Drosophila melanogaster: one gene and its partner. The protein of the gene in region 1 purifies or fractionates together with the protein of each later gene. This does not show direct contact. Each region holds a gene or a part of one and is shown on either strand. Other genes may lie near its edges.

Region 1 (5,098 bases):
ACTTGGAAACTGGTCCTGCTCCTGCGCAGTGAAAGTATATAGGAAACGGAGCACATAGGCGAAGCTACCATCCAACCGCACACCAGAACTGTGTAACCCATTCCCCGATCCCGTAGAGAATTTATTGCATGGGCCGCGACTGCCGTTGGCTTCTGTCCATCTATCTTTGGCTGTGCTTTTCCTGGGATTTTCCCCAATGCGATGGAATGGGTACTCAGACCACAGAGGACCTGCCCACAATGCCACCATTGGCAGTTACATTTTATGGCCAAAGTTCACCAGAACCCAACTCGTTCCCCAGCCCCACGCATTCTGGCGACCAAGTGGCGCCATTTTTGCCGCATTGTCATCGATGGGAGGATGAAGATGGGGATGGGCAACTGACAGGGATTCTAGTTTATGCTTGCGAGGACTTTTCAAGAAATAAACTTTTTCCTCTGTCGACATCAGCGAAAATAATATCGCATTCGGAAAAGTATAAAAATAAAATGAGGACGCAGATTAAAACTATCAAGTTGAACAGTTGGAGATAGATTTTTCTATAAATTGATTTTTATTTTCACTTTAAACATTTCTATCGAGACTGGAATGGACAACATATATAAAAACACACTTCACTTCAATTGTTTTATAATTTATCAGTATGTATATTAAGATTATTCAGTAGAAAACTTCCTTACATCGCACCAGTGACGATGCGAACCGAACAAAAACTTAGTGAGACAGTTCATCATAATTATTAAATTAATTCACTTTCTGGCGTAATAACAAAAATGCTGGCTAACTAGCTTTGTTGACCATTTGGCGCATGAAAATGGGAAAAAAGATTTATGTTGCCAATTCAGTTTCAAGAGCCGAGCCTGATGGATTCATCTCAACTCTAAAGTATACAAGATATTACAAAAATTTGCTACGTTTACGGAATTTTCGTACTTATATAGATTTTGCCATTTTTATTTTTATTTTTTTTTAGATAGATTTTCTTGTGCTTCTTATAAATGCCTGCACACATGATATGCAGAGTTGAGAATGGAGTGAAACTTTCGACTTGACTTGCTAAAACAAATATGAAACATCTTCTGTTGGCTATTACTAAGGGAAGTTTGTCTTGTGGCTTCTTCGACGGTTTCTTCGTTTTGTATTGCGTGGCATTGTCATGAGGCATACATCATTGATCAAATTTCTTGTTCTTGCTTTGATTAAGTAACGACTTGAGTTTGTATTCGTGACCTGACTTCTTAAACAGACTTCTATTTAAAAAACAAACAGTTACACATAATGGTAGAGCATGCTACGCTGAAGTCTTAAATCTTTCATTTTAACTAAATTTAGTTGCTGCCTAGTCAGGTGTGCGAATCTGTTTCCTCGTGATTTCTGTGGGTGTATGCTTGTGTGTTTGTTATTCGTTACGATCCCAATAAGTCGCGAATTCGCCTAATAGAACTTTTTCGCCTGTGCTTCGCTGCGGTTTCTGCAAGGAATAATAAGTTAGATTGTTTAGTTTCGAATCCACGCTTAAAGATTCCATGAACTCACTTGAAGACGTTGTAGATGAAGACTAGCAGCAGTTGCACAACAGTTACGCTTAGGAACAATGTGACTCCAACGCAATTGCCCGTGGGACAATTGGCCACCTGCGCTGCTCCCTGTGGCGCTGCCAATCTGCAAGGTAAGGGAATGCATATTGAGTATCAAGGAGGTACTTAAAAGATGACAATAAAGTATAATAGTCTAAAACTCATAAACATGTTCCTCTGAATCAAACTTGTTAAAACTCTAATTTCATAATGTGGAATACGAAAAATTAGTATAAATATGGCTGAAAAGGTTAAAATTAATTCGAGCTCAGAATAACTTCGATGACAACAGCTTTAGGAAACTTAAAATAGACTTTGAGCGTATTCCTCACCTTTGGCCCACGTGGGTGATGCCCTGCTTGACCTGATTCATGCCATCGCGCATCTCGGCGATGAGCGTTTGTACATCATAGCCGGTGGATTGGATTTGTGCTGTGGGCGCATGCTTCTGATTCGTTTGAATGTTATCAGTGCGCACATTGATATCGCCAACCAGTTGACGAATCTCGCGGATGGAACTGAGCAGCATGTTCTGATTAGTGAGCAGAAGATCTACATCGCTCCTGCTGACTGCGCCAACGGGCAGCTGTTGCTGTGGCACTCCGCCGGCGGCGGGCGGAGGCAGAGCCTGTCCAGCATTACGTGAGACCAGCGACAGCGTGGTCTCCTGGCGGCCAATAATCTCATCCACTTTGCGGGAAAGTTCGCGTAGGTGATCGGCAATTTGGCTCTGACCCTGCCAGATCTGACGCAGCTCACGCTGGTTCTCCGACTCGTAGAACTCCTCCCAGTCCTCCTCGTCTTTGTGCTGTGGGATTATACGAAAGTTGATTATCAAAACTAGCGATAAGACATCTTTATCAGCTGGCTGCGTGGCAATTACCTCGTCGGGATGGTCCTTCTTGTACTCCTGCTTCTGTTTCTCCAGTTTATCTTGGTATTCCTTGTACTCTTGCGTAAGCTTCTCCTGGTTTTCCACCTTGGGCTGCTCCTGAACTTGTCCAGCGGCATGCAACGACGTGGTCAGGAAATGGAACACATCGTGGTCATCGGCCAGACCGCCCGTGGCGGCGGAAATGCCAAAGTAGCCGTTCTTGGGCAGATTGACGCCATCCGCTCTCAGACACAGCTCGTAGTCATCGTTGTTGTTGGACATTCCGTTGTGGATCATGACGGTAAGCACGTTGTTGTAGTACTCGATTCGCGCCCGTGTAGGGAAGGGCTTGTTACGGAAATCCCTGAGGCAACCGCTCAGGAGCTGAGTGGTTCCATCTTCGGCATGGTCATACAGCTTGGTGCCATCATTGAGCACGGCACTGATGTAAGGATTGTTGTGCTTGTTGTCATTATCGAAGGAATCGAACATGATGGCCAGACCATTCCAGCGGTCCGAGGATCCGAACACAGGCCCATTGTAGTCACCCTTTTCCGTGGTGTACCAGAAGGCCAATCCATCGGCTCCGATCCTGCCACGTCCCGTCACCCGGAACACGATCTCCACGTCCCACCAGTCGAAGTTCGTCTGTGACTTTGTCCAGATGGCACCCTTCTGTGAGCGCAGCGATGGCGCCACGCGCACACTTTCCGAACTGGCGATGGCATCTGAAATGAGGAGCAACAAGTTGTGGCTATAGAAACACCCGAAACCGTGGTCAAAACGACATCCAAACAAAGTGCCTGCGTGTACACTTGGCCGCCTCGCGCCATCTCGCTCGCACCCATGGCCGCAGACCAGCAGCGAGTGGGCCAAAACAACTGACGTGGAGCTGCGTCTTCCACTCGTACTCACTTCCCCCGTACTCCCAAAACGGCACGGTGCCGTCTTTCTGTGCCAAATACGGCGGCTTGAACGAGTACTTGTACTCGAAGCGACGGTGCACGCCCACGGCTCCAGGACTCAGATTGCCGGTCGCCTCGGAGCTGGGATTCCACGCCAGGAAGCACAAAATGGCCAGGAATGTGGGCCGCATCTTTGCAATTATATGTTGACAACTAGTGGTGGGTGGGCGACGATGGTGCAAACTGATGATATCGATAACCAGCCGGCACCGATAGGCGGTGGTATCGCACTGGATGTTCTAAAAGCATTGTATAATTTAAAATCAAATATTATTTTATGTATTGTCTACCATTAACAATTAAGGTAATATAATATAAATTGATTAGAACATTTATTTAGGCCATCCTTCGTATATAAATGTTGAACTTAAATAAAACCAGCCATCCTATAACAATTAACTTCAGCTTAGATCACAATTTAAAATTCTATAAGATAAAAGTTTTTCCATGCATTCTAAGAAACAAGAACCAAGTGATCTAAAAAATATTCAGGCAGCGACAATACAATCGCTATCGATTTCGGTAGATTTTATATCGATATCGCAAATGCCCACCAAATTCAAAAGATCTTGTTATCACTTTATGATGTTGAGGTGGAAAAACATTTATTTTGAAAATTTAAAGTGTTTACGTCCCGTTAGAAAATAAACATAAATATAGCAAAATACGCGCCATTCGCATGTGCTTACATAGATACATGTTTATCAATACGTTATTGTAAAATTATTTCGTTAGTTGTTTCAATTGCCTTTTGCGTGATATCACCAAAGTAGTATTACATCCATATCTCCAAAATTCCTTTAGCACAGTTAGCACAGTGTGTGTATATATGTTTACATCTTTATTCTTTGTTTCTGATTTCCTACCGTTTGTAGTTTTCGTAGAGCTTACAGCTAGAATTATTATAGGTTTTAATGCCTCGGTAGCACATAGTGTGGGCTTCATAAAATATTGTTAGTTGCTCAGTTTACACAAGTGATAGCTTTGTGTGCAGATCGGTGTGTGGGGGATAGTCATTAGGGGCGATCGTGCCGCAAGTTTCGCCATTTTACAAATGTTAGTTACTTATTTTGAATCACAATCACTTTCGTGTTAGTTCTGTGCGCGATCAAAAGAAAAACTCAAATCGATTAAAACAAAATCAAAGTCTTTGTTTTAGCTTGATTTATTACAAAATTATAATTAAACGAAGGCGCTACAGTGTAGCGAAAATCTAAATTATGCATGATGGTGCAATATAATAATCTTTTCAATTTATTACAAATACGATAATAAATTAAGCTTAAATGGGTTTTGTGTACATTTCCCGAAAGAGGAAATATGCGTTCAAGTCGTTAAGTACTGTAGAAAATCATAACAGCGGTGGACATACCTTTATTTTGGGTTTAGAATGTTAAACTCGCATAAAGTAAACGTGCGCACTCTAGACTACAAAATACAAAAAGTATATGTATGTATACATATCCTACAATATATATGTATATTTATATATAATATATCGTAATTTTTAGGTTCTCTTTCGTGTATAAGATCAGTAATTAGAGGATTGTGGGATCCAGATCCAATCCATTTTTTGTTACTTCCTTTTCTCATTTGACAGCATCACGGCATGCTTTTCAAATGTTTTCATCTAAATTCAAGATCACTTTATAACCTAGCCAATTTCAAGACATCTTACATTA
Region 2 (4,181 bases), on another chromosome or scaffold:
ACATTTCGCTATATTACGTACTACACACTACATATATTAACTATGATCGAAACTACTTAAAGGACTTAGGTGTAGCGTTGAGGAACATATACAAAAGCAACCTATATATTTTTTGCAAAACTTTATATAAACTCGTACATATATATACAAATTGAATAGATATATATATATATATATATATAGATCTATATACACCATATGTATAGCTGACACTTTGAAGGGCTACCAAATTTACACCTCGAATTTGTTTAGATGCGGAAAAGTTATGAGAAATTTACAACATGAAATTCAAGTATTTTAGGTTAACATATACACGCGTAACCCTTACACACACAACTGTGCAACTTAGTATCCTTATGCAATATTGGAGTGCCTCTGATTTTGTTCATTGATGTTGTTTTCTTTCATGTTTTCATTTGTTTCGTGCGAAAAGACATACGCATCTGTCGTAACATATAAGATGTGATAAAAATGAGTACTCAAATTTAGGCAATTTTAAACGATACATATGTAAATGCTTTTTGATTTATTTTATTAATAAGTTTCCGTGTGTTATTTCGATAAACATATTACTTATGCGAAAAATTCATTAAAGCAATTCCACGCAAATCACTCACAAACTGTTCCCCTCTTGGCCAGCAATGTCGACTGCCTCCAGATTCGGAAATTGTACTTCTCCACATCCAGCTTGGAGTACACAAAGATGGGCATGGAGTTGGACATCACCCAAATGTATCCCTCCTCGTCGATCTAAAACAACAACGCACTTAACCTTCGTTTTCGTGTTACAAATAGAAAGGGATGAGCTTACGGTCAAATCGCTGGGATAAATCATCTCCGATGAATTGGAATAAACGGAGCCATGGTTTTCCGTTGAGAACGGCTTGCTGGTTTTCCAGCAGCCCACTCCACTCTTCTGGACCTCGGCAAAGAAAATCACCCCGGTCCGCGGATCGTATTTATGCATTGTGGACTGGGTGGACGGACCACGAGTTCCCAGAAGATGGAAGTCGTCTCCATGATCAGAACGTGCTGCATTGAATTCCTGCTGCAAGACCCTGTTGCTAACCACAAACTCATTCGTGCTGGCCATAGGATGGAAGAAGACATCCCTGCTGCCATCGGGCTTATATGATCCCAAGGTCGCCGAGAAAATCCCGTCGTCCCAGCGGAAGGTCTGCCCACCAATGTTGAGATTATCAGAAAGGGGATCAAAGTTAAAGAAGCTGTGCTCGAAGGACCAAATTCTATCGCTTCGCAGGTGATAGACGTGCAGTCTGCGATTGACCAAATCCGGAATGTAGGCATAGGCATCGTTGCACCTCCGAGCGCCCACATCGATTGTGATGCTGGCTAGTCCACGTCCGATCTCCACTATGCTCTGCGGAATCTCAAATCGTTTCAATAAGCGATCGTTAGCCAAATCGATCACCCAAATGCTAGGATGTCGAATCTGCTGGCGATTATCTGATGGTTATATAATATTATTTTAACCTGGATCACCTTGCCTATAAAGCAAATGATTATACTCACTGGGAAACTCCAGCATTCCGGTGTCGACGAACCAGAGACGCCCACAGACATCCACTGAGGTTCTATAGACAGACACTAGGTTCTGCTCGCTCGCATTATACTGATTCACCGCCAAGTTGGGATAGGCCCGTAGATGGGGACTCTGACTCCACCCATCCTTGGCCAGATCGATGTAGTTTAAGGTGGACGGAATGCCCGGCTGTCGCCGTGGCACGGTGACAAAGAGGCGTCCTCGAAAGTGGGTTACTCCTTGGGGCACGTTGTTGTATTGGATGAAGGATCCTGAGGATGAGGAGCCTAAGCACTTGCGGGAGTTGTAGAAATGCGAATCTTTGTCGAACGAATAATTGTGATATATATACATATTATTCGTTATAAAAGTGACGATAAAATGGTGATTAAAATAATATTCATATTACAACCATTTCATAATGTTTTGTGGAAAAACTTAGTGATTCACCGACATTTGCTGATGTTTGAAATTGAACATATTTCAATTGGATATTTTTGGAGTTACCTGGAATGCAGATCCTGTTCCACAAATCCTTATAGCCATCGCCGCGATTGTAAAAGTCCAACTGCTTCCACTTGAAGACCTCAATCATGGGATCTCCATCTGCAGAGATTAGCAATTGGAACCCTGAGATTGCGCACAGGAGCAGAACGTCCAGCGATAACATTTTATAAAATTCCGGTCGTTCGCCTTTCCTGGCTGAAAACCCACTTGTGACTGACTGACTCCTCAGCTTGGGTTCAACTGAGTTAAACGTGCTCTGCGACTCAAAAATGAGCTCAGAATGTAAAGTGATAAGAGCAGTCACTGGGATTCCCAAGCTCTTATTTTCCATGTCTCTTTATTCAACTTTTAAGATTTGTTGATAATCTGAAGAGTATATTTGTAAAGCTAACTATTTATTCGAAAATTTCGTCATTCTTACTTATGTATGTATTTTTAATTAAGTAACAAATTCAACAGGAATTCCACACGAATCACTCACAAACTGTGCCCCTCTTGGCCAGTGAAGCCTTCTGCTTCCAAATCCGGAAATTGTATATACTCGTGTCCAGTGTGGAGTAGATGAAGATGGGCATGGAGTTGGACATGACCCAAATGGTGCCATCCTCGTCAATCTGCAATAGTAAGATGAGATGTATAACTTTTTTTCTTCAACTTTTTTATCCAAAACCATTTGCTTACCGACAAGTCGCTGGGATAAATCATATCCTCGGCATTGGAATCCACAGAGCCATAGTTTTCCGCCGAGATGGGCTTGCTGGTCTTCCAGCAGCCCACTCCGTTGCGCTGGATCTCATCGAAGAAGATCACCCCAGTCCCAGGATCGTAAGCGTGCATCGTAGACTGGGTGGACGGACCACGGCTTCCGAGTACCCGGAAATCGTTCCCATGATCGGAACGTGCGGCGTTGGATTCCTGCTGCAGAACCCGGTTGGAGACCACAAACTCATTCGTACTGGCCATGGGATGGAAGTAGGCATCGCGGCTCCCATCCAGTTTCTGGGCCCCCAAAGTTATTGAGAAGATGCCATCGTCCCAGCGGAAGGTCTGGCCGCCAATGCTGAGATCCCCGGACAGCGGATCGAAGTTGAAGTAGTTGTGCTCGAAGGACCAGATTCTATCGTTTCGCAGGTGATAGACGTACAGGCGCCGGTACACCAGATCCGGAATATAGGCGTAGGCATCGCCACACTGACCCGCCTTCACATCCACGGTGATGCTGGCCAATCCGCGACCCGTCTCAGCTATACTCTCCGGAACATCGAAGCGCTTCAGCACCTGATCCGTGGCCAAGTCAACTACCCAAATGCTGGGACGGCGGATCTGTTGGCGGTTATCTGGATATGAGAATCATGATTGAGTTTTTTATATTCTTGGTCACCAAATTAGATTAATACGGATCGATCCTGATCTTTTATATTACATGTCAATACATGCCAACTCACTTGGATACTCCAGCATTCCCGTGTCGATAAACCAGAGACGCTGGCATGCATCCACGGAGGTTCTGTAGACGGACACCAGATTCTCCGCACTCGCGTTGAACTGATTAAGCGCAAAGTTGGGATAGGCCCGCAGCTTGGGGCTGCGATTCGATCCGTCCTCGGCCAGATCGATGTAATTCAAGGTGGATGGGATGCCCACCCGTCGACGAGGCATCGTGACAAAGAGGCGGCCGCGGAAGTGAGTGGCTCCCATGGGCACGTTATTGTACGGAATGTAGGAGGCGTTGGGGTCGTCGCTGTCGGCGCGGGAGCTGACCACTACCGGTGTATCGCGGGAGGTCATAATCTTACGCTTTCGACGAGAATACTTTCCAGGAAAGACAACCGGAGCTAGTTGAACAATAAAAAAATAGTACATAAGTAAATACCAATAAATCTATCTAACAAGGCTCGCGAGATTGCTATTGCTGAATGAGAACTAGTAATATCATATTATGAGTACTAACCTGAAAAGCTGGGCCTGTCTTTCCTTCCGCCCGAGCTTAGATGGCCATCTCCGCGATTGTAAAAGTCCATCTGCTTCCATCGGAAGACCTCTATCATGGGATCAGCATCTGCCAAGGAAAGCAGCTGTAACCCTGAGATTAAACTTAGAATCAAAAATTGGGGCGATAACATTGCTCGGT

The links.
Region 2: the proteins of ergic53 (region 1) and yellow-f purify together in Drosophila melanogaster (affinity purification with mass spectrometry, with the first as the bait; one large-scale study listed by BioGRID). This does not show direct contact.

The regions. Positions count from the first base shown.
Region 1 is NT_037436.4:8,533,455-8,538,552, reverse strand, and holds ergic53 (ergic53), read right to left. Parts: upstream 3,577-5,098; 5' UTR 3,548-3,576; coding exon 3,367-3,547; intron 3,180-3,366; coding exon 2,461-3,179; intron 2,386-2,460; coding exon 1,910-2,385; intron 1,663-1,909; coding exon 1,537-1,662; intron 1,472-1,536; coding exon 1,435-1,471; 3' UTR 540-1,434; downstream 1-539.
Region 2 is NT_033777.3:12,990,933-12,995,113, forward strand, and holds yellow-f (yellow-f), read right to left. Parts: upstream 2,270-4,181; 5' UTR 2,214-2,269; coding exon 2,051-2,213; intron 1,864-2,050; coding exon 1,534-1,863; intron 1,468-1,533; coding exon 812-1,467; intron 751-811; coding exon 610-750; 3' UTR 517-609; downstream 1-516. Other genes in the region: yellow-f2, read right to left, coding at 2,524-2,664, 2,732-3,387, 3,496-3,885, 4,002-4,173. UniProt on the Drosophila melanogaster protein: Tautomerization of L-dopachrome with decarboxylation to give 5,6-dihydroxyindole (DHI). Also catalyzes the tautomerization of the methyl ester of L-dopachrome and dopamine chrome. May play a role in melanization reactions during late pupal and adult stages.